Nothobranchius furzeri: one gene and its partners. The protein of the gene in region 2 binds, or shares a complex with, the protein of the main gene of each other region. Links are inferred from orthologs where the notes say so. Each region holds a gene or a part of one and is shown on either strand. Other genes may lie near its edges.

Region 1 (7,918 bases), on a different chromosome or scaffold from region 2:
CCTTTAAAATGTTTATACATAATTTATGTCAGAGATTATTAAATAAATCAGAAAACTTAGATCTTAGTTTCATTTTATCATTCACTGTGGCAAAGTTTGAAAAAATAATTCAACTTGTCTTGAGAAAATCTAAGGGCTGCATGAGCTCGTTCTACTGTCAAATTGATTAAAAAAAGACTATGTTGCCCTCTAGTGGTGCCAGCTTTTATGGAGAATAAAAACAAACAAAAAACGAATTTATTTGACCGGAGTGGGACAAATAAATATAAAACAGGAAAATGCACAAGCTTTGCGTGGTGTTTTAAAATGTTTCGCTAATTTAAATTCCTGCTTGTTTTTTTCTGTAGGTATATTCTAATGGCAGCTTTTCTCTTTTTCGAAATGTTGTTTCTTTGATTGACTTATCTTTTGTGAGTTTTTGTACCTTCTTTAATTTGATTTATTTTATGTGCAGCAGGCACGTGTAGAGGGGGTGGGCCGGAGGGTGCTTGAGCACCTGCCCCTTTTGTCCGAAGTACCCTAAGTATCCTTTTTCCGCTCTTTCGCCAGATTTTACTGTTCAAAACTGTTATACTGTGATACATATCAGGCACTAGGACCATGCGGAGGCAGCCGCTTCAAGCTGAAGCCCATTCTGAGCCCATTTTCCCTTAGACCCGCCTACAAGCTCACTGATTGGCTCTGCTGCACATACTAACGTGTGATTGGTTGTCCCTGCTGTCGCTCTACCTTGCAGTCATGGAGACGACAGTAAGGTTTGCGTTCATCTACCTGTAAGGTTTTTTTTTCTTCCTGCTTCACGTCAGCTGGAGGGATTTTAATATCAGAGCTTTTGTTTACATTTGTTTGAGTCCGTGGTTAGTGTGTGTGGAGCAGTGGAGGTAGCTGCATGTCTGAGACAGAAAATGGGACATGAGACTTAAGTGTTGAAGAAACTCACAACAAATAATCACTCACTCTAGATTCTCCGGATCATAGCTTCTGAAGTACTAATCGAATAAAAATAATTCCAACGTTTCTAAAAGTACATATAACGAGCTTTTCAACGAGGTATTACATGATGTAATTCATGTTACTCAAAAAAATTGTATTTAGAAGCAAACCGGTGATGGTAAAAGTGAATGTGAGCATAATTATACACATTTTATTACTTTATTATGTATTTTTTATTGTTGACTATTACTCCAAAGGGTTCAAGTGAAGGCAACTGGACTTCTTTGGTTTCTTTAAAACATCTCACTTCTCATCTGAGGAGCTTTGTCCATTCTAACAGGAAAATGGGAGAGTCAAGCTTATGAGCTGTAGCTGTCTGTTGCTGTTTAACGAGCTGTAACTACTCTGGGTACCCGGCCTCTCCATATCCTGATGAGTCGTTAGCCTCTTTTGCAAGGGAGTCATGTTGATTAGACACAGGAAGGCGTGACCTAGACAGAAATTGCTTAGGAATGAGATTCACAGCTGCATTATAGGTGCTGGAAAGGTGAAACCTAAGCCCCTCCCCTATTTAAAGTGGAGTTTTCACATTTGACATAGATAGCTTCTTTTACTCCTCTCTCAAACCATCTATGTCCAGAATGTGTACTTTGTCATCTTCAAAGGTGTGTCCCTTGTCCTTCAGGTGTAGGTGGACTGTAGAGTTTGCTGAAGAGGCGGCTCTCCTGTGTTGTGCCATGCTCTTGTGTAATTGTTGTTTAGTTTCTCTAATGTAAACATCTGGACAGTGCTCCTACACTGGACTACATAAACTACCCCACTGAGCTTCTGTTGGGGTGTTTTGTCTTCTGGATGGACCAGGTTCTGTCTGAGGGTGTTGTTGGGTTAAAGTTTACCGGGATGTTGTGTTTGGAGAAGATTCTTCTAAGTTTCTCTGAGTCTCCTGCCACGAATGTGATGATGGTGCCTTTGTGTAAAGGATGTTGTTGTTAGGTTGGTAGCAGAGCTCTCATGTTTAGTGCTAAGTTCAGTGAGATCATGGAATGGGATCAAGAATTTTCTACTGACAGGAAAAAGATCTCAGCTAACATAGCTGTAGATCACACTGGATAACTTTGTGTGGTTGCATTTATTTTACTACTTCTTGCTAGAGCTGTCTTTAGTAAGCTCAAAGTCAATTTGGTTGTACACCTGTGAAATAGCAATAAATGATCTTGAATACTGTTAAATGTACTTCCTGAATGAGTGACCTTTTAAGGCTAAAATAACAAAATGACAAATACAGACAGAAGGATGACTTATTTCTTCTTTTGTAACTCATTGCATCACCACCTGGTATCAGAACAGTACTCGGTATTGGAAGATAATCAAAAATCAAACAACCTGGACTCAGATCAGAGGCAAAAATGTGGTTGTAACATCTCTAGATATAAGTCAGCTTTATAAACTAAAACAATTATTTATGAACTAACATTAACACTAATGACACTAATTGATATATTTTTATTATGTTGTTTGAACCCAAGGGTCTCATTATCTGAATTTTCTAACCTGTTGGATTGTGAATCTGTTTAAAAGTTTTGCTCTATAAGTGCCCCTTTTTTTACTTTGAGCTCCCGCCCCGTCAAAGGTCTCTGCACAGCCCTGATGTGCAGCATAGATGTAAAACAGGCCATTTTGGTTCGTTATAAATAAATGTCAGGGCCAAATTTTGTTTTTTTGGTCTGTTGTCTCTTTAGGGACATCTCGTTTCTATTTTATATTATTGTTCGACTTCTTATTTTGATGTGTATATTGTCATATTTTAGAACATTTTGCATCTATTTGCTCCATTTTGTCAAACCTTATTCACAAGTTAGTTTAATTTATTTTAGTTATTTTCATAAAACTAACTTGTAGACTCAGCTTTACATTTAAGTAATGTGCATGAAGGTAACACGAACGTCTACGTCATTTTCTTGCGACACGCAACTCGCTGCGTGAAGCTAAAAGCGTGAAAGTCTCTAGATGGTGTCAACAGAACTATTCAGACTTTGAGAGCTGTTTTCTTGCTGGCGTGTAAAAAGGTTTGGTTGAATCAAACATTTGAAACATCAGTTTTGCTTCTCTGAATTATTTGAGGCCGCAGCTTTGCGGTGTAGCGGTTCTGGTGCTGTCTAAACATCTCTAAACTGACTGATTCTTGCTAATAAAACGTCCAGAGGTTGGTTTTGAGTTGGAATAGCGGTTTTTAGGCTCCTATCTTATTTCAAAATGAATGAAGAAGGTAAGGCGTTTCATGTGAGGGATTATCTGCTCTGCTGTGGACTCGCCGATGCTAAAACTGTCCTGTCTCTGTGGTCCTGGATCAGAGCTGGTGGAGTACTTCAGGGCTCAGATGAGGAAAGACCCGGGCATGGCCTCTGCCGTTGCGGCCATCCGCACCCTGCTGGAGTTTCTCAAAAGAGACAAAGGTGTGTATGTCACCTCATATATGCCACCTCAGTATGGATGTTTTCATACTTTAATTTCAGATATACTGTCAAGCAAAGCACCATTATGTTTTTGATATTACAGATTATAATTACCACTTATTAATCATTTTAGGTTAAGAACAATTTTCTTTTCAAAAAGCAAGTATTTCTTCTTAAATTCAAACCTCCAGGTTTATTCAACATCTTTTACATTTAAGGACTTAGGCTGATTTTTCCACTCATTTTTTAAGCAGCCAAAGTTGAGATATAAACAAAAAGACCTTCAGAAAGTTTACAGAGTGGTTGATCTCTTTAAAATATTACAAGATGATTTGATTGCTTGGAAGCAAATTATAAAGAATTGAAATGTTTGCCAAATGTATGATTGGAATTTTAAAGTATTTTTATTACTTGTAGTCTTTTTGTATTTTTCTATCTATCTATCGTCCGTCCATCCATCTATCCATCCATCCATCCATCCATCCATCCATCAATCTATCAATCACACACTGCTCACAAGAATTAAAGGAACAATTTTTTTATTGGGCCTGGCATGAAATCAATTAAATCCATCCATAAAGTGGCAACAATTACAAAACCCTCAAAACAGGACTGGTTTAACATGTAGAGGTCATTTCAAGTTTCTCCCTCTTGAGCTTTTTCTGCTGGTTTTCCACTCGTGCTAGTTTTGGCTCTCTACTGGCAGTATGAGGCGATTCCTTAACCCTACAGAAGTTGCACAGGTTGTCCAACTTCTCCAGCATGGCACATCCACACGTGCTGCAGTAAGAAGGTTTTAATGTGTCTCCCAGCACAATCTCCAGAACATGGAGATTTCAGGAGACTGGCGGTTATTCTGGGAGAGCTGAACAGGGCCGTAGAAGGTTCACAACCCATCAGCAGGACTGATATCTGCTCCTTTGTGCAAGGCGGAACAGTCTGAGCACTGCTCGTTCCCTACAGAATGACCTCCAGAGGGCCACTGGTGTGAATGTCTCTACCCAAACAATCAGGAACAGACTTCATGAAGATGGCCTGAGGGTCTGACGTCCTGTAGTGGGCCCTGTGCTCACTGCCCAGCACCGTAGAGCTTGACTGGCATTTGCTCATGAACACCAGAATTGGCAAGTCCGCCACTGGCACCCTGTACTTTTTTCAGACGAGAGCAGGTTCACCCTGAGCACCTGTGATAGACGTGAAAGAGTCTGGAGAAGACAAGGAGAATGTTATGCTGCCTGCAACATCGTTCAACATGACAGGTTTTGGTGGTGGGTCAGTGATGGTCTGGGGAGGCATATCCATGGAGGGACACACAGACCTCTACTGCCTAGGAAATGGTGCTCTGACTGCCATAAGGTATCGAGATGAAGTCCTTGAACCCGTTGTCAGACCCTACGCTGATGCAGTAGGTCCTGGTTTTCTCCTACTGCATGACAAAGCCCGCCCTCATGTGGCAAGAGTATGCAGGCAGCACCTGCAGGATGAAGTAATTGAAACAATTGAATGGCCTTCACGATCCCCTGACTTAAACCCAATAGAACATCTGTGGGACATTATGTTTCGGTCCATTAGGCAGCACCAGGTTGCTCCTCAGACTGTACAAGAGCTCAGGGATGCCCTCACACAGATCTGGGAGGAAATGCCACAAGACACCATCTGTTGTCTCAATAGGAGCATGCCCCGACGTTGTCAAGCATGTACACAAGCTCGTGGGGGCCACACAAGATACTGAAAAGCAATTTGAGTTGCAGAAATTAAGTTTTTGAAATAATGGACTAGCCTGCCACATCTTCATTTCACTCCGAGTTTAGGGTGTTAACACAGTTGAGCCCTCTCTAGGCTGATAACTTTTATTTCCATTAAAAGACTTGGCATCCTTTTGTTCCTAAGACATTGCCCTGTCGTTATTTGTATAGATATCCAACTTCATATTGAGATCTGATCTATCTAATGTGTTTCTTTAAAGTGTTCCTTTAATTTTTGTGAGCAGTGTGAAAAACGAATTGCCCCTTCCTGATTTCTTATTTTTTTGCATGTTTGTCACACAAATTGTTTCTGATCATCAAACACATTTAACCATTAGTCAAAGATAACACAAGTAAACACAAAATGCAGTTTTGAAATGATGGTTCTTATTATTTAGGGAGAGAACAAAATCCAAACCTACATTGCCCTGTGTGAAAAAGTAATGGCCCCCTTGTTAAAAAAATAACCCAACTGTGGTGTTTCACACCTGAGTTCAATTTCTGTAGCCACCCCCAAGCCTGATTACTGCCACACCTGTTTCAATCAAATCACTTAAATATGAGCTGCCTGACACAGAGAAGTAGACCAAAAGCACCTCAAAAGCTAGACATCATGCCAAGATCCAAAGAAATTCAAGCACAAATGAGAACAAAAGTAATTGAGATCTATCAGTCTGGTAAAGGTTATGAAGCCATTTCTAAAGCTTTGGGACTCCAGCGAACCACAGTGAGAGCCATTATCCACAAATGGCAACAACATGGAACAGTGGTGAACCTTCCAAGGAGTGGGCGGCTGACCAAAATTACCCCAAGAGCGCAGAGACAACTCATCCGAGAGGTCACAAAAGACCCCAGGACAACTTCTAAAGAACTGCAGGCCTCACTTGCCTCAGTTAAGGTCAGTGTTCACGACTCCACCATAAGAAAGAGACTGGGCAAAAATGGCCTGCATGGCAGATTTCCAAGACGCAAACCACTGTTAAGCAAAAAGAACATTAAGGCTCGTCTCAGTTTTGTTAAGAAACATCTCAATGATTGCCAAGACTTTTGGGAAAATACCTTGTGGACTGATGAGACAAAGGTTGAACTTTTTGGAAGGCAAATGTCCCGTTACATCTGGCGTAGAAGTAACGCAGCATTTCAGACAAAGAACAGCATACCAACAGTAAAATATGGTGGTGGTAGTGTGATGGTCTGGGGTTGTTTTGCTGCTTCAGGAACTGGAAGGTTTGTTGTGATAAATGGAACCATGAATTCTACTGTCTACCAAAACATCCTGAAGGAGAATGTCCGGCCATCTGTTTGTCAACTAAAGCTGAAGCGATCTTGGGTGCTGCAGCAAGACAATGACCCAAAACACACCAGCAAATCCACCTCTGCTCTGAATGGCTGAAGAACAACAAAATGAAGACTTTGGAGTGGCCTAGTCAAAGTCCTGACCTGAATCCTATTGAGATGCTATGGCATGACCTTTAAAAGGTGGTTCATGCTAGAAAACCCTCAAATAAAGCTGAATTACAACAATTCTGCAAAGATGAGTGGGCCAAAATTCCTCCAGAGTAATGTAAAAGACTTGTAGCAAGTTATCGCAAACGCTTGATTGCAGTTATTGCTGCTAAGGGAGACCCAACCAGTTATTAGGTTCAGGGGGCAATTACTTTTTCACACAGGGCAATGTAGGTTTGGATTTTGTTCTCTCCCTAAATAATAAAAACCATCATTTCACAACTACATTTTGTGTTTACTTGTGTTATCTTTGACTAATGGTTAAATGTGTTTGATGATCAGAAACATTTTGTGTGACAAACATGCAAAAGAATAAGAAATCAGAAAGGGGGCAAATAGTTTTTCACACCTCTGTAGATGGCCATGGGTCATTTTTATTTCTTAGTGCTGAATAGACACATTTTTGAGTAACATCCCACTTTGAATCTCTCATGTGACTTTGTCACTTTCAGAACAAAAACATGGATTTTGTCTCAGCAACGAGGCTCTAATGCATTCGTTAATTTCCGCAAAACTCAAGTGTTGTTTTCAAACTAATAAAATAAAGGTTTCTTCTTGGATGAAAACATTTTTTTTATCTGACCGTTTTAGCTTCCTACTAGAGGGCTTCTTCATGCGCTGTCCTCTGTTGGAGCGATGAGGCCCCCTCATCTCATCTTTGTCTTGTTTCCTGAGTTTATTGCCTCCCTTATAGCGGAGATGAGGGGGCAGACACATTGCCAAGAGCTTGAGACTTGCTCCTTGAGGCAACATCTGGTGCATATGGGAGTGCCCGTCAACGTAACGCATACCAGGAATACCAGAAAAACGCAGTGTCATTGCTCCATTAGATGGCAGCTCATGAAGAAGGCCTCAAATAGGAAAGTGAAACTTTGGTAAAAGACATTCAACCCAAGATACTTGGCTGTTTAAGAAGACACCTTAAGTTTTATTAGTTGTAACAAGGCATTGTGTTCTTAAACCATCGTTTCCCTGCAGGTGAGACCATCCTGGGCTTGAGGGAGAGTCTGAAACAGGCCACAGGCTGCCTGATGGGGGAGGACTCATCCGTGGCTGTGTCGTCTGGAGGTGAACTCTTCTTGCGCTTCATCAGTCTCACCTCTCTGGAGCACCAGGTGAAGCAAAACACTTCAATGTTCAGATTATCAATCTTCTTTAAGGCAGTTATCCACCTGCTATGGATTATGGAACAAACCTTCTTGAGAGCAACAGATCTACAGTGGGGCAAATAAGTATTTAGTCAGCCACCGATTGTGCAAGTTCTCCCACTTAAAATGATGA
Region 2 (7,715 bases):
GTTTAAGACGCTGCATCATCACCGTAGTATCCCCATGCCATGCTAAGTCTGACCTACAAACGTTGCATGTCTTCGCCTGATTTAACTGAAAATGCTCCCAAACTTTAGAAGTTTTTACTTTTTGGGGGTCTCGCTGCTTCTGCCATGTTCCTCTTACAAACACCTGCTGGCTCTCCACCGGTCTGCGCGCAACGGCGGGCGGGAGGGGGCTTTTGGAAGAGTTGCGCAACACAACGAATCGATGACGCAATTCGTTGCCAACGCTTTTAGTAATCGATTTTCATCGAATTTATCGATTCGTTGTTGCAGCCCTAACCGACACGCACGACAGCCAGACGCCGTAAAGCAGCCTCCGCCTCCCAGACAAACAGAAGAAGAAGACGCCACATGGCTACATTGTAATTTCCCACGTGAGTTGTCTCCGATCCAAGTTTTGTCTGCCAAATAAATAAACAAAAACATAAACAGCGAATTTGGGAGGCGCTTCACAGCCCAACGTAATTAGCATACCAAGTCCGACACATAGTTGTATATTCACGCTTATGTGCTTAAAGGAAACTCCCGTTTATTGCAACCCGGACTTAATTTCTAGCATGCAGTACGTTTGTTTACTCACGCTGACAACTTTGGTGCTACTTGGATTCCCCGGGGTATTTAGATCCATCGGCGAATCGCCGTCAGCATATATCCATATAACGGGTGCGGACGGGCACCTATGGTGCAGCCTTGAAATAAGACATTATCTGCACCAAAACATCTCAATGTCGAAAGGTTTTGTTAGGAATCATTGACATGATTCCCCTGTTCGTTTGGAGCGGGTCTGGGATTTCTAGGCGTAAACAGACTAGCCGCGGCTAATTAACCGGCGCTTTTAATGACGTCTCTGCCGTGCGCCAATCTGTTTTTAATTAAGATTACCGGTAGATGTACCTCTGTCCTACTGTGGAGAAATTCATTTTCTCCCTTTATTGACCAACAGAGTTGTTCAAAAGTACAGAACAAAACATATGGCATTACATCTTATGACAAAAATGCACCTTAAACAGAGTTTAAGCAGCAAAACATCACTCTGCAAATAGTGTATATATAGTGAGGCAATTCATGATTTAAAGTAACTTTCGCCAGTTTTTGTATGCACGTTTTAAAAAATGCTGATACTTGAAAGGTTTAAGCACTTTACACACTTAATTCTTAACATTTAATTTTTGCAATATAAATTGAGGAATGTTATTTTTTGAATAAACTTGTTCAATAAATTGGTGTTTTTAAATAGTATCGAAATCGAGCACCGAATATTTTCAAGTATCGAATCGAGTTTGAAATTTTAGTATCGTGACAACCCTAGCACCGATACAATACTGGTATCGGTATCGGCATCGATACAGATACCAATACCAGTATCGGTAAAAGTTAACAGATACCAATGCAGTTGCTTGAAAATGGCTTCACTGTAACTTGTCATTTCTGTTCACCTAATATTTTAGTTTTGTGATATTTCCATTCATATATTTTACTTTTTACCTACCTCAGTCTTTTCCTGTTGAAAGCAGAGAAGAAAGTAAAATCTGTATTCCAAATCATTGCATTTTTTTGTGTGGTAGAAGTATCGGTATTGGTAATCGGTATCGGCGAGTACTCTGATCCAAGTATCGGTATTGTATCGGTTTGGAAAAAAGTGGTATCGTTGCATCCCTATTATGTGCCCCCTTTTTGAATTTGAGCACCCACCCCTTCAAAGGTCTCTGCATGTCCCTGGTCTGAACACATTTTACTGGTGCACTACGTGGTGATCTAGGTGCTGTGGAGGAAAAATAGAGAAACCAGCAAAGACAAACCATTGTAAAAGGCAGAAACAGTCCTAAGTTTGGGGTCAAGAATAAACTACGAGCAGAATTGCTAATGCTAAGCTAGCGGGTAGCATTCTCATGAGCAAGTGTGGTCCAGAAAAAAACATGATGGTTGTGAGCGACTAAACTCCACAAGTGGAAGAAAAACCTCCACCATCCTGTTTATGTGTGGATGTCTACAGCGGTGTGGTGCAGAACTGCTGCAGCTCCCTGGAGTCTGGTTGTTGCTACGAGTCTGCTCCATACACCGCAGCAGCGCAATGGCAAGCCGTTGTAGCATGTAATTCACAAACGCTTACATATTTGAACACAATGTAGACTAGATTACGTTGCCAACCTGTAAAAAATAAATAAATAATAATAATATATATATATAAAGAGACACACGCCACAAGTACAAATGAAATGTTATTAGCATTTCCAGTAACTTACTACTGAACATGTAAATGAAATGAATAATTCTACTGTGAATATTTTACTGATATTAATAGAAACCTAAAAAAAATTGTTCCATAAAATATTTAACTATAAAAATCAGCTGGGAAATAGGGAACACCAATTTAATATATTTTGTTGAGCCTCTTATAATTTTGCGTTTTTATTTTGGCAGCAGACCACAATCTCGTTTCACTTGAAACGCCGTCAAATAGAATACTCCATTAATCGATGGATGATTCGATAGAATACTCGAATACGAAAATATTTGATAGCTGCAGCCCTTATGCAAAAAAATAAAATAATTTTATATGACAGAAAATAATTGAAAACCCCTTCTATAGTGTGTTTAAAACAAGAATATCTTATGGATAATTTTATCTGTTAATGTTACGTTTCAAGTTGCAGCTCTCACCTTTCTCTTTGTCAACTCGAATGACGACGACACATTCGTTGCGACCGATGCGGATGAGCTTGTTGATGGAGCGAATACGTCTGCGGGACAGCTCACTCAGGAGGATCATGCCCTCGATGTTGTTGTACTCCAGAAGGCTGACATAGGCTCCCATCTCAGCGATGGACCTCACGTTCACCATCACCACATCCTCCACCTCAGGGAAGCGATGCTGATAGAACCGACAACTAAGCCCCGGCATTGCTGTGAAGATGTGAACAGAATAAGGGGGTACATATTTAGTTTGAAAAATAAGCATTAAACAAACTATTTGGATGTCACTCTGATAATACATAAAACGCTAGCCTCTCAAGAGTGAAAGCAGAAAAATATGTAAATATGTAATATTTTGTAGTGCTGTTGTAAATTTGACTTTAATAAAGTTTTTTGAGTTCATGGATGGGCAGAGCAGCCACAAAACTAAATCTACTCCAAAAACCTTTCATCAAAGATCAACATTTTACTTGCAGCAGTTTGAAGAGATCAAGTTTACTTTCATTTAAACGCCAACACATATTGATGCTACTGGTTTATTCACTTTAATCCAAACTGGAGATTCAGCTTTCAAAGAACATTTGACTTTTTATCACCACTAATCTGTAACAAAATTATTTCCCTCAATTGCAATGGACCTTTCTATGTTGTTCTTTGTTTAATGGAGAATGTTTGATGATTTTATTCTATTGGTATTAATCTGTTGACAGTGTGTGAAATATTATGTCACCAGTAAAACATTCCAATATTAATAAGCACAATTCACTTCTACAGGAGACTTGTTAATAACCCTTTGAGGGGGTTATTAGGAAGAATAAGGTGTTAACAGCCAACAGCACCTTATCTGAACTTAACAATCTGCGGCTTCAGAGAAACAGAAAAAGACTTAATATGTAATACTGATATTTGCACAAGTCATCAAGAATAAATAATGCACGGCTCTTGATACAATCAGCACCCTCATTAGCAGAAAACCCTGTGCAGAAAGCAAAATGTTGGGATTATTGCATAGAACAAGCATTTCAAGTATTCACATTTCAGCATTAATATTTGACCCGTTTGAAATAAATAAAATTCAGAACAGTTCTTCAAAAGATTCGTAGTTTTAGGCTTTTCCCCCCTCAAAATTTTAGTCTAGGAATGAATGGGATGATGCAACGTCCACAACTTTTTTTAAGAGCAAAAAACTGGCTTGAACATATGGAATTAAAAACAGACAATAAAATATTACAGCACATTAGTACTAGTAGTAAGGCACATTATAGCACATAGATAATGAATAAAACGCTAAGAGATAACATACGGTTTCATTACAAGCAGAAAAAGACATTTTAAGGTGTTAGCTTCCTGGCTAAGGTTTCCAAATCACATGCGGCTGCCAATGCTACACGTTTAGCTAGCAGTCTCTTCGTCGCTTCAAATATCTTCTCTGTCAGCGAAAACTCACCTGTGTCATGGAGTTACAGAATGATAAAGTTGGAATTTTATGATGGGCGTGTTTAAATGCTTCTCTATGTTTTCTTTCGGCTGCTTTTAGATGAAATTCTCAGACCCGTTAGCTCACATTCATGGGTGTGCAATTTTTTTTTGCCCCGGAAAGAATTAATAGAGAGTACCTCTCTGCGCATGTGTAAATTCACGGCTGTGTCACATGACTTGGGGTCAGCTGATCATTACGGACGGACAAGATCACGACCATTAGCTAGCTACGTTCACCTAATCCTGCTCGAATTATAGCTTTTTTGAGATATTATATTAACCTCAAACGATTCGTTATAGTTACAAGTAAAGTTAAATATTTAAGTTTAAAGCGTAGAAGTAGATCGGTCAACATAAAGACGAAAACATGTCTGGAAAGGACAGGATCGACATATTCCCGTCTAGAATGTAAGTATCGTCTTTTCTTATCGTATCGTCTTTTCTCTTGGCTAACAAATTAGCCCCCCCCCCCCCCCCATTAAATGTCACATTATTTTTCTAGCTTTCCAGATGCCGTGATAATTAATTTTCTGCATTTATTTACCTTAATTGGACCGCGTCTGCACTGCGGATACATTTTATTCATAGTTTGAGTCTGCTGTTTAAAAGAGGAAGCGCTATTTTTGTGTCATGTGATGTTTCTAACATCTGAGTGTGAACAGAGTCTGTACCTGCTTCATGAAAGCCACAAGGAAGGTCTAGTTCTAATTTTAAAGCCAAACTGACTGCACGTCACCTGTTTGTTTATGTGGAAAAACTCACTCAGATATTCATGTGTAAAAAAAGAAAAGTGGGTATCTGTCTTTCAGGATGGCCAACCATGCAGAGAAAAATAATTAGACAAATACTTTAAAAAATGTACAATAGGTGGTTGTGTAGTCACATCAGGTCTGAATCTATAAATAAATGTCATCTGTGTGTTTGCAGGGCCCAGACCATCATGAAGGCTCGACTGAAAGGGGCTCAAACTGGCCGCAGTTTGCTCAAGAAGAAATCTGACGCTCTCTCGATGCGCTTCCGTCAGATCCTTCGTAAAATTATTGAAGTCAGTCAGAACATTTAATGATTGCTGCTTCTCTTTCTTCACTCCAGCCAATTTGACACTAAAATAACTAGAGCAACTATTTAAATCTTGCATTATTTCTCACATAATAGAAAAACACCTAATAATGGAATTTTCTTTTATTCTCTGTTCTTTTAGACTAAAACTAAGATGGGAGAGGTGATGAGAGAAGCAGCTTTCTCATTGGCTGAAGCCAAATTTGCAGCTGGTGACTTTAGGTAAGAGTAATGACAATGTTACAGCCGTGTTTTATCGAGTCTGTTAGACGTGCGCAGCAACTTTTCATCTTCTTTCAGCACAACTGTAATCCAGAATGTGAACAAAGCCCAGGTCAAGGTTCGAGCCAAGAAGGATAATGTGGCGGGTCAGAAAAATCTTCCCATCATCATCATCATCATCATCACTGTAATTGATGGGAAACAACTATTCATGCTGAATTTGTCTTTTCAGGTGTCACCCTTCCAGTGTTTGAACACTACCAAGAAGGTGGAGACAGTAAGTAGTGTAATTGTACTTTTCAGACATGCATCATATTTGGATTAGTGTCTGTGAACCTCAGAAAGCTCAGCATGTTTGTGTGTGTGTGTGTGTCAGGTTATGAACTCACCGGTCTAGCCCGAGGAGGTGAACAGCTCTCCCGGCTGAAGAGGAATTATGCTAGAGCTGTTGAGCTGCTTGTGGAGTTGGCCTCCTTACAGGTGCTGTTATGGCTTTTAAGGCGTATTTTTCTGCCATATTTGCAAAATATCTATATATATATATATATATTTAATTTTGAATAAAAATTAATATTTTTTTAACAGACATCATTTGTCACCTTGGACGAAGCCATTAAGATCACTAACCGCCGCGTGAATGCCATTGAGCACGGTAAACAAACGAGTTGTTCAAAGATCTACAGATGCTTGTGTTTTTAACCATCTTTACTCTCCGTTGCAGTGATTATTCCCAGGATTGATCGCACTCTCACCTACATCATCACAGAGCTGGATGAGAGGGAGCGTGAGGAGTTCTACAGGTGAGAGCAGCTGCATCGGATTCCTTAACCATTAGTAAAAGGATCTGATGGGTTAGGAAGTCAACTACTGTAAGAGTCATGTGTAATCATTATTTTTGGTTTTTGGTGCATCTTATTTAAATATTCAACCTAAAACTGTTGGTGTAGCGCCCTCTTCAGGTTAATAGTCTGCATTCCATTTGAATTAGTTAGCCATCGCTATTGGTTAAAGGGTACCACTGTGGGGTCTAATACCAGCCGAATTTCTGGGTAAGCTATGCCGCCAGCAGGCTCTGCACCGGTTGCCTTGGCAACTCACAAGCCGATGCCTCAGGGCTGCTCACCTCCTCCAAAAAACCAGTCAGTTCAGGCTGCAGTCCCGCCCTCTCACCCCATCAGGCAACGCCTCCTTTTGGTGCATTTTTGAAACCAGAAGTGTGGGTGGAGTAAGGCTCTGGTAGGGGGGTGACTTACTCTTTAGTTTGGCCATTCTGAAGCTTCACATTTACAGTACCTGTTATTTTCCGCTGTGCCAGGCTGAAGAAAATCCAGGAGAAAAAGAAGCAGCTCAGGGAAAGGACAGAACGGGAGATCGCCGCCCGGCTGGCTGCACTCGGTCCCATCGCTGAGCCGGCTAACATGCTGACGGAGGAGACGGACGAGGACCTGCTGTTTGAGTGAACCCCTCCCTCCCCCCGTGGTTCAACACTCAACGTCTTATTTATTCCGTGCCTCCGGCCACGTTCACACCTCCCTATAAAGTTATTTTTCCCCTCCAGATCTGTGATTGTGTTTCTGTGCTGGAAAAGTCTGAACGTCTTCTCGTGTCGCTGTACAGACAAGTCTTAAGAAAAAAAAAAGTAATTATGAATAATAAACGTGTTGTTTGTGAGTAAAATGAAAGAAGCCCTCTGTGTGAACGGCTCACCTGTAGACGTCGTTTGGAGCATCGCATGCTGTAAAGCTGAAGTCTGTGTTGTGGAAACCTGTGAAGGGTAAATCTCTGACCCTGTAAAATATTGTCAACAAAATAAAGATGCTCTAAATATAAAGCAAACGCTCTTTTTTTTATGCTTTTGGTTTGAACACAAATGAGCCACGTTTACTCTGTAAGCTCATCCTGCTTCATAGAACATCACGCCTTTGTTTCGGCTTTAAGACTTCACACAACTACCAGGAACGGTATGAATCAGCTTGGTCACATTCTGTTTTTATTAACACTTTAGCAGAGACTTCCTTGGAAAGTGCAGGAATTAGTGGCTTTTAGACTCTAGTGCGTATAAAACGACCTCAGCTGTATTGTGCAGCATTAGAACATAGTACTGAAAACCAGCCTGAGGTCTTGTAAAGGAGAACAAATACTGATGCTGGTTTAAGAACACTACAGCGGATTTTAAAACTGTTCTCATTGCATAAAATCTACTTCTATCCTTTTCTCTCATGAGG
Region 3 (7,846 bases), about 6.1 Mb from region 2:
TAAAACTGAGATAGTAGATAGAAGTGCTATTGATAATTAAATGTACCCTGCTATTTTAAACAGCCCGAGGTTAGTTTTCAAGGGAAAAGAGAAGATGAGAAGAAAAGAGAAGATAAGAAGAAATAAAACAGCAGGACCATCCCTGCTGCCAGCAACTCCAGGAAGCACCGCTAGTCTCCGGACCTGGATCCACATCGTCCTCAGTGGGCTCAAACCATCGCATGTTGGTGCTGGGTCAGCTGCACAGAGAGAAGAAAAGGTTAAACAGGATTTAAGAAAATACGTAGCTATCTGTTGAGTAAATAGGTTTTAGTCCATAATTGTATTTCAAAAAAGATTTGAACTTTACTACAGAAAAACAGTAAAAATTTCCCGTTTGTTCCATAAAGGTAAAAAAGAAGTTTTATTGCTGTGCCTGAATTAGCAAAAATAAGACAAAGAGTGTAGTGTCAAGAATTAAGTTCTTCAATAAAGTTCATCTTGGCCTGTACTAATGGTATTCTGGAAACTTATTTTGAAGGATTACAAGTTTTTATGGGATGTTATTGAAGTTGAAGTGGAGGATTTGTGTTGCATTTAGCTGGAAAGCCGAGTCACGCCAGCACACACGACCTCTCTGGTCAGGTATCACAGGTGCACATTAACGCCTACATACAGCAGACTAGTGACAAGTGTTTGTTTCTTTAAATCATAAATAACGTGCATCATTTATGTTCAGTGGGGTTTGTTACTGTGCACAGAAGAGTGGTTACACAAGAACAGCAGAGAAAAATCAGCCAAAATGCTTTTTCAGTTAGAGATTTAAGAAAAAAAGTCTGATTATTTACATAAGAACTGCTTTTAGGATAAAGATGTAATAAATGTAACACTGCAGTTAAAAAAACATCATATTTTGTTTTTTGTCTCTGAACCTGTTAGGAAAATACACATCTTTGGTTCTTTACAAACATTATTTTTACAGACAATATTTTAGCTACAATGCTGCACACGGATGGAGCCAGCGTCATGTGACCTCTACATAACCGCTCAGTCTTTAATAACCTTTTCTTTTTTAAAGTCACATTTTCTGTACAGATGTTAAAATCTACCGTTTACGTTTCCAGTTTTTTCGTGCTACTGGACAGCACATTAAATATCATCTATGTGTGCTATGTGCTATATAAATAAAGCTGCTGGCCACTTTATTGGGTACACCTTGCCAGTACCGGGTTGGACCCCGTTTTGCCTTCAGAGCTGCCTTAACAAGGTACTGGGAACATTCCTCACATGTTGGTCCATGCTGACATGATTGCATCCCGTTGTTGCTGCAGACTTGTTGGCAGCACATCCATGATGCGTCCTACCGCATCCCAAAGGTGCTCTATTGGACTGAGATCTGGTGACTGTGGAGTACAGTGAATTCACTGTCTTGTTAGAAAAACCAGTCTGAGATGATTCCAGCTTTATGACATGGTAAATTATTCTGCTGGAAGTAACCGTTAGAAGATGGGTACACTGTGGTCGCAAAGGGATGGACATGGTCAGCAACAATACTCAGGTAGGCTGAGGCGTTGCAACGATGATCAGTTAGTACTAAGGGACCCAAAGTGTGCCAAGAAAATGTCCCCCACACCATTACACCACCACCACCAGCAGCCTGAACCGTTGAGGCAAGGCAGGATGGATCCATGCTTTCATGTTGTTGACGCCAAATTCTGACCCTACCATCTGAATGTTGCAGCACACAACATTCTTCCAGTCTTCTATTGTCCAGTTTTGGTAAGCCTGTATGAATTGCAGCCTCAGTTTCATGATCTTAGCTGACAGGAGTGGCACCCGGTGTGGTCTTCTGCTGCTGTAACTCATCTACCTCAAGGTTCGACGTGTCGATGCTCTTCTGCACACCTTGACTGTAACAATTGGTTATTTGAGTTACTGTTGTCTTTCTATCAACTGGAACCAGTCTGGCCATTCTCCTCTGACCTCTGGCACCAACAAGGCATTTTCACCCACAGAACTGCTGCACACTGGATGTTTTCCCTTTTTCAGACCATTCTCTGTAAACTCTAGAGATGGTGGTGTGTCACAATCCCAGAAGATCAGCAGGTTCTGAAATACTCAGACCAGCCCGTCTGGCACTAACAACCAGACCACGTTCAAAGTCACTTCACTTACCTTTCATCCCTCATTCTGAAGCTCAGTTTGAACTTCAGCCGATCATCTTGACCATGCCAACACGCCTAAATGCATTAAGTTGCCACCCTGTGATTGGCTGATTAGTAATTAGCATTAACGAGCAATTGGACAGGTGTATCCAATAAAGTGGCCAGTGAGTGTATATTTTAATGCAAATTTTAGTATTTATGTATTTTTATTTGTACCCTTTAAATGTCCTACATCGCTGCAGCTACAATAAAATCTATAAAACTATTTGTTTAATGTCTATTAGTGGCTTGAAATTGTCAAATGGTGGCAAAATTACAGCGTAGCCAAATATTTTAGCGTTAGTTCCATAATAACCTCAACCGCTAGACTGGATCAGAAAGGGGAAGTTTTCCCACCACTAAGGCACGTTTCCCTTAAAACTTTTTCATAAATGAAAACTTGTTTTTACAGAAAAAAAGTGATTGTGTAACTGCTAATGGGAGAGGTGTTTGATTACCATTTATTCATCAAAGATGGAGTCCAGATGTGGATTATCACGTGGTTTTAGTATCTTTAGTCGATGTGTTTACCTCTGTTTTGTGCTGAAGTGGAAGGTTTGTGTGGAACTAAATAAAAGAGGAGAAAACTGCCTTCCTGCCACTGGGCTCTCTTTCTCTCAAAGTAAACAAAACTCAACGTCAATAGTTAATAACTTATTTATTACAGCGATTAAAGCTCGTGGTCCTCCGGGTGGTAAAGCTCACTCATTAGTCGATAAATGTATGAGGGTGCATGTCCTCCAATGTTGGAGATGAAGAGAGTGATGAGCTCAGGAGGAACGTAGTCGAACACTGGACAGTGTACGTTGACTTTAGAGAGGATCTCACCTGAAAAACAAAAAGATAAAACTGATTTCTTTCAATGGATGCAACTTTTCACCTGAAGGCTCAAAAGGAGGTTGTGGTAACGACTTACCTTCGGTGAAAGGGAGGACTTCGTGTGGGGAAACAAATTTATGGAAGGTGTCTTCCTCATTTGGAAACTGCAAAATAAATAAAATATAAAAGTTGAAATTGTTTGTTATTAAGAGAAAGAGCAAAGGTCTGATGGATGCGGGTGTTTATCGGACCTGAGGTGAGAGCTTGAACATCGGAGCACAAACGATGAGAGGTGTTGAGTGATGTTTGGCCGCGAGGGCAAGTGTATGTGTTCCATTGACGGCCCTCAAACCACCATTTGCTAGGACTGTCTGAGTACCGATGATGACCTGCAGACACATCATCACACAAGTTAACCTGCATGCCCTGACGATACCCTTAATCATCAGATGTGGAAAAATACCTTATTAACTCGAGACATGACCGCAAATATGGCCGCATCTGCAATCACGGTTGTTTCTATGCCCGCTTTTGATAGGCTGGTGGCCATTTCATGTCCCTATTAGAAGATAAATAAAGTTTTAAAAAATTATTTTAAACAACAAAGAGTTTAACTTACTTAGACCTCATTTGTCCGTGCTACCTGGCAGAAGGGTGCACACTCTGCTACGATGACATGGAACTTGCGTTTCCGCGCAGCGTCTTTGAGGAAGGCCTCTACGGTGCGAGAGCGCCCGATTGTCATGATGACCTCGTTGGAGTGAATGTGTTCCAGTGCCTGCATCGCAATGTTGTCAGTCGTTCCCTCTGAAAGAGTGAAGGAAGCCCAGAATTAAAGAAATCTCCTTAAAATTGTGGATTTATTCTGCTTGAAAACTAAATAAGCTTAATAAGAACAACTCACCCAGCTCCGTCAGCAACTCGTTGATGGCCTCGATGACGTTAGCTTTAAGAGGAGCAAAATGATGCCTGAAGTTCTCCTCGCTGAGTCCTCCAGAGGTCAAGAGCTTGTGGAGCGACTCCTGTTGGTCTGCTTCTTCACTGCTACCTCGAGATCTAAGGAGAGAATTAACATTGTGTCCTTTTGGAAGCAGGAATTAGTTTTGTCTGTTTTATGTTTTTATTCCGATTACACCCTGGTGCGTCCTCACCTGGCGTATTCCTCTCTGATGATCTTCAGCACCCTTCTGACCATGTTACCAACGGTGGTCTCTGAAGGCTGAGCAGCGGTCATTCTCCTGCCCTCTTTACGGATGATCTCCATGAGATCACCTAAGACAGAAAACGTGAAAATATCAAACAGGATCAGATCACAACAATGGTGAGAGCCAACAGGGGCACACAGACGGATAATTATGAGGTTTGACTGAAGCAACTTTAAATTAAGTTGTTATTGTTCGTTTCTATTCATCTGTCTGCATTCCCATTCATTTTTACATGTATATGGACACTGCTCCACATTTAATCCTATGTACGTCTTGTACTTACATAGCATCTGTACTAAACTAGGCGCACCGTTATGCTAATAGGCTAATATCCTGTTCCTGGAGCGTGGGTTTTAACAGCTAACATATTTCGCGGTGTTTCTCTCCACTTGTAGATCCTATAGCAGCTTGTGGATCTACTGTGATGTTAAGGTTAACTTTAAACTGAAGAAAGGGGACAAATGAAGCACCTGCGCTGCTCCACCGAGCCTGGGCGGTAATTTTGCGGAGTAGCGCCGTCGTTTCTCTGGCCGTTTCAGCCGAACCTCTCAGAGGTCCGGTTCCGCTGCCTCCCCGCTTCAGGTCCGACAGGAAAGCTTCGACCCTCTCCGTCAGGTCCGTTTCTTTGTACGGGCCCGGCATAGTTCAAGTAAAAACTACAGAACTAACCGGCAGAAAACAGATATAGGCGAATTTCTACCATAAAAATCGGGAACCGGAATTTCTTCTGAATTACATCCGGGGGACGCGGGTGTTCTTCTCTCTGATTGGTTGACTGATTACTGCGTCTATCTTCATCACCTTTTAAGCGATATCTTTAAAACGTAAATAAACTAGGCATCTCATCCTAAAAATACTTGATTTTTTTATTTAGCTTTAATGTTTATTCAACCTTTATTTAGGATTAAAGTCCATTTTTCAAAGGAGACTTGGCCAAAGGCGGCAGCATGGGTAAGAAAGGAGTTCGGGGCCTTTCCCATTTGATTTTGAATTTTAAAAAATGTCTGTCCTTCAACAACTAACGAAAAGTTATTTTTTGTGCTATTTTATTTTACTAATAAAAAAAATTAATGAAGTAATCAATTAGAAAAAAGCAGACAGGGCATAATAAAAAATATGTTAATTCAATACAAATTTGTGAAAATATTATGCACGTGTTATTTGCTCAAAACTTAGGTAGGTGAAGTTTCCTACCATCAAACACATGACCTAGTTTTAATCTGGGCAAATTTTTGATTTTTTAGTAATTTTGTTATTCTTGCATAAGTTTTACATAGATCATAATTTCTTGGTTACAAATTCAGTTTTCCTTGTATTTTATTATCTCCATGCAACAGAATACCTGTTTGGATCACTGTAATTTTTATTATAGGACTGGCAAAAAAAAAAAAAAAATTCTGAACATTCTTTGAACAGGGAAACACCTTTACAAACTTAACTCATGTAAATCCATCCAATATTTTTATTGAATAAAAGCCCAACACAAATTTACAAAATTTATCAGTCAACATAAAAATCACTGACTGCGCTGAATGCGCATGTTCCATTGTTAAAAATGTACCAGGACAGCCATTACTTCCTGTCAAAACCAATATGAAAACCTGCAAACACCCACATTGACGTGACCCAAGATTCAAACACTTCCAACGAAAAAACAAAAATAAAACCAACACTGGATGGATCTGCAAGGACTGTTATTGGAAACAATATAATCAGGTGTAAAGCAAAAAAGGGGCAAATGTCTGAATAACTTCTAATTTTTTGTCACAACTACCAACCTGCATTCTGATGAGAAACTTGCATGAATGCGTCATACAAACCATGTCGGTGCAAGAAGAGGATTTTTGGTTCTTGGATGATGGAGGTTCCAAAAACAAAACTCGAACATGCAAGAGATCAAGGAAGTGACCAAATTTACAATAAAGGAATATTAATGTGAAAATTCAAACCCTTCCAGTAGAAGCAACTAAGTGGCAGTTACAATATGAAAAACTAAAGACACAGTTAAATATAGCTACTGAGTGACACGACACAAAGTTTCAGTGGTTGCCAATTTCTGAAAGTAACAACAAACCATGTTTTCAATGAGCCCTGGTCGACAAAAGGACAGATGATCTAGTTTGCATGACATGGCAAAGAATGCATTTCAACAGAAGGGCAGAAACATTCACTCATGGTGTATCCATTCAAAGTGAGCTCAAAATAAAACACGATTCAACTGATGAAGGAATCTTGTTCAGGAAGCTGCAACAGTAAAAACGGTGCAGAAAGAAACAACCATCATCTCACTTCATTTCTCCTTGCAGAGCTTTTCTTGTTGACAGCTACGTAACAAGCAGATGTTCCCCCGGAGGAAAACCCTTTTCTCTCAACCTTGAAAACCAGATTTTGAGCCCCTCAGCCCCACTTGCTGTTGCTTGTTGACGCTAGTCCAAGAAGGGTGGATGCTGGGATGGGGTTGCCGACTGGCGGGCAGGGTTCCTCGGGGAACGGAGCCAGGTGAACCGCTCTACTCGATCAGCTTCTTTGCCTTGAAGAAGCGCCGCAAGTAGAAGACCTGCCATGTGGCCAGTCCGATGAGACAGCACATGGAGAATATACTGAAGTACAACACGCGTGTGTTTGTGGACTCTGTAGTGGTGAGATACAGGAGTTAACCACGTTTTATTATTGAAGTTTTTCTTTTTTATTAGGACTCTTTCCCAAAACACTAAGATATATATATTTATGTGACATCGATGACCTGATGGTTCGGTGGTTGCCTTACCGTTGGTGTCCCGCATCTCCTCTTCCCTCTTCTTCATGTAAGCAAAGTCATTCACGATGGATTCTGACAGGTCCTCCAGCCGCCTCAGCTCAACCTCCAGAGGCTTCAGTTTTTCCACTTTTGCAATCTGAAGGGTCAAAACGGAGACGAATGAAAACACTGACTAGCTTTATCAGTGGTGTTGGTTAACAACTTGTCCAGTAGGTGTCGCTCTGAAACTGTAAATAGAAGTGTGTGAACCTCACAGCTGAACCGGAGATGCCTGATATAAGGTCTCTAGAAGCCCCAATGATTCCTTGTTTCTTCTCTTTTAACACTTTTTTCTCTAATTTTCAACATTAATCTTGATTAACCAAGAATTCTGAAGGTTTGCATGTTTCAGTTTAGGCACTTATGTCAATGTTATACAGTTAATGTTGACTTTTGCAGATGATACTCTTTTATTCCTTCACATTAAATGTTTTAAACTGACAAACCAGACAGAGATATACTTCACTAGCAGTGAAAATTATCAAAAAATCCAAACAAATATTGTAAAAAAAAAAAAAAAAAAAAAAAGGAAAGAAAGAAATTTTGAAAATACACCGAGAAGACCAACGGCTCTTTGACAGAAAGGAAGGAGGTGAAAACATTCCAAGAATGTTCCTGTGTTTGTATTTCAGCCTTCCCCAGCTCTGTCCCACTAACCTACATGCCTTCAGGTCTCAGTCATCACCTGGTGTAAACAAACAAATTAATAATAGGTTTCAGCAGAAATGGGAGCCAAGCTGATGAGGTCATTATTTCACTAGATCCTCCACAAAAAACTCAATCAGGGAGGAGAGGGAGTCCCCTGGGAATACTGATAACTGATGGGATGAATCTAATCTGGT

The links.
Region 1: the proteins of eif2s1b (region 2) and eif2b1 are in contact, whole or in part, in a cryo-EM structure (PDB 6K72), measured with the Homo sapiens proteins. The link is inferred for Nothobranchius furzeri from reciprocal best matches to the Homo sapiens genes EIF2S1 and EIF2B1. Residues at the interface, in NP_004085.1 of Homo sapiens: Ala28, Glu29, Met30, Tyr33, Gly44, Met45, Leu47, Leu48, Arg75, Lys80, Tyr82, Ile83, Asp84, Arg88; in NP_001405.1 of Homo sapiens: Gly39, Thr41, Ile42, Gln43, Gly44, Leu45, Arg46, Ala47, Asn48, Glu70, Arg74, Ser77, Ser80, Leu81, Glu82, Tyr83, Ser84, Asp85, Tyr86, Cys89, Leu305.
Region 3: the proteins of eif2s1b (region 2) and eif2b2 are in contact, whole or in part, in a cryo-EM structure (PDB 6K71), measured with the Homo sapiens proteins. The link is inferred for Nothobranchius furzeri from reciprocal best matches to the Homo sapiens genes EIF2S1 and EIF2B2. Residues at the interface, in NP_004085.1 of Homo sapiens: Leu51, Ser52, Arg53, Arg54, Ile56, Asn60, Lys61, Leu62, Arg64, Arg67, Lys87, Ser91; in NP_055054.1 of Homo sapiens: Glu92, Arg95, Gln128, Ser131, Asn132, Glu135, Ala136, Glu139, Val142, Glu143, Glu145, Glu149, Asn150.

Annotation. Positions count from the first base shown.
Region 1 is NC_091746.1:40,376,529-40,384,446, reverse strand, and holds the start of eif2b1 (translation initiation factor eIF2B subunit alpha), read left to right. Parts: upstream 1-2,889; 5' UTR 2,890-3,186; coding exon 3,187-3,199; intron 3,200-3,284; coding exon 3,285-3,386; intron 3,387-7,615; coding exon 7,616-7,752; intron 7,753-7,918.
Region 2 is NC_091742.1:8,438,539-8,446,253, forward strand, and holds the start of eif2s1b (eukaryotic translation initiation factor 2 subunit 1b), read right to left. Parts: upstream 4,343-7,715; 5' UTR 4,178-4,342; intron 2,941-4,177; 5' UTR 2,939-2,940; coding exon 2,698-2,938; intron 1-2,697. Other genes in the region: atp6v1d (V-type proton ATPase subunit D), read left to right, coding at 4,577-4,617, 5,137-5,254, 5,411-5,490, 5,569-5,636, 5,723-5,767, 5,867-5,970, 6,076-6,142, 6,212-6,290 and 1 more. UniProt on the Homo sapiens protein: Member of the eIF2 complex that functions in the early steps of protein synthesis by forming a ternary complex with GTP and initiator tRNA. This complex binds to a 40S ribosomal subunit, followed by mRNA binding to form a 43S pre-initiation complex (43S PIC).
Region 3 is NC_091742.1:2,322,489-2,330,334, reverse strand, and holds eif2b2 (translation initiation factor eIF2B subunit beta), read right to left. Parts: upstream 4,953-7,846; 5' UTR 4,850-4,952; coding exon 4,678-4,849; intron 4,275-4,677; coding exon 4,154-4,274; intron 4,059-4,153; coding exon 3,907-4,058; intron 3,810-3,906; coding exon 3,646-3,809; intron 3,562-3,645; coding exon 3,466-3,561; intron 3,392-3,465; coding exon 3,254-3,391; intron 3,167-3,253; coding exon 3,100-3,166; intron 3,012-3,099; coding exon 2,854-3,011; 3' UTR 2,849-2,853; exon of another isoform or gene 2,823-2,848; intron 491-2,822; exon of another isoform or gene 240-490; 3' UTR 222-239; downstream 1-221. Other genes in the region: drc1 (dynein regulatory complex protein 1), read left to right, coding at 64-126; tmed10 (transmembrane emp24 domain-containing protein 10), read right to left, coding at 6,717-6,838, 6,975-7,101. UniProt on the Homo sapiens protein: Acts as a component of the translation initiation factor 2B (eIF2B) complex, which catalyzes the exchange of GDP for GTP on eukaryotic initiation factor 2 (eIF2) gamma subunit.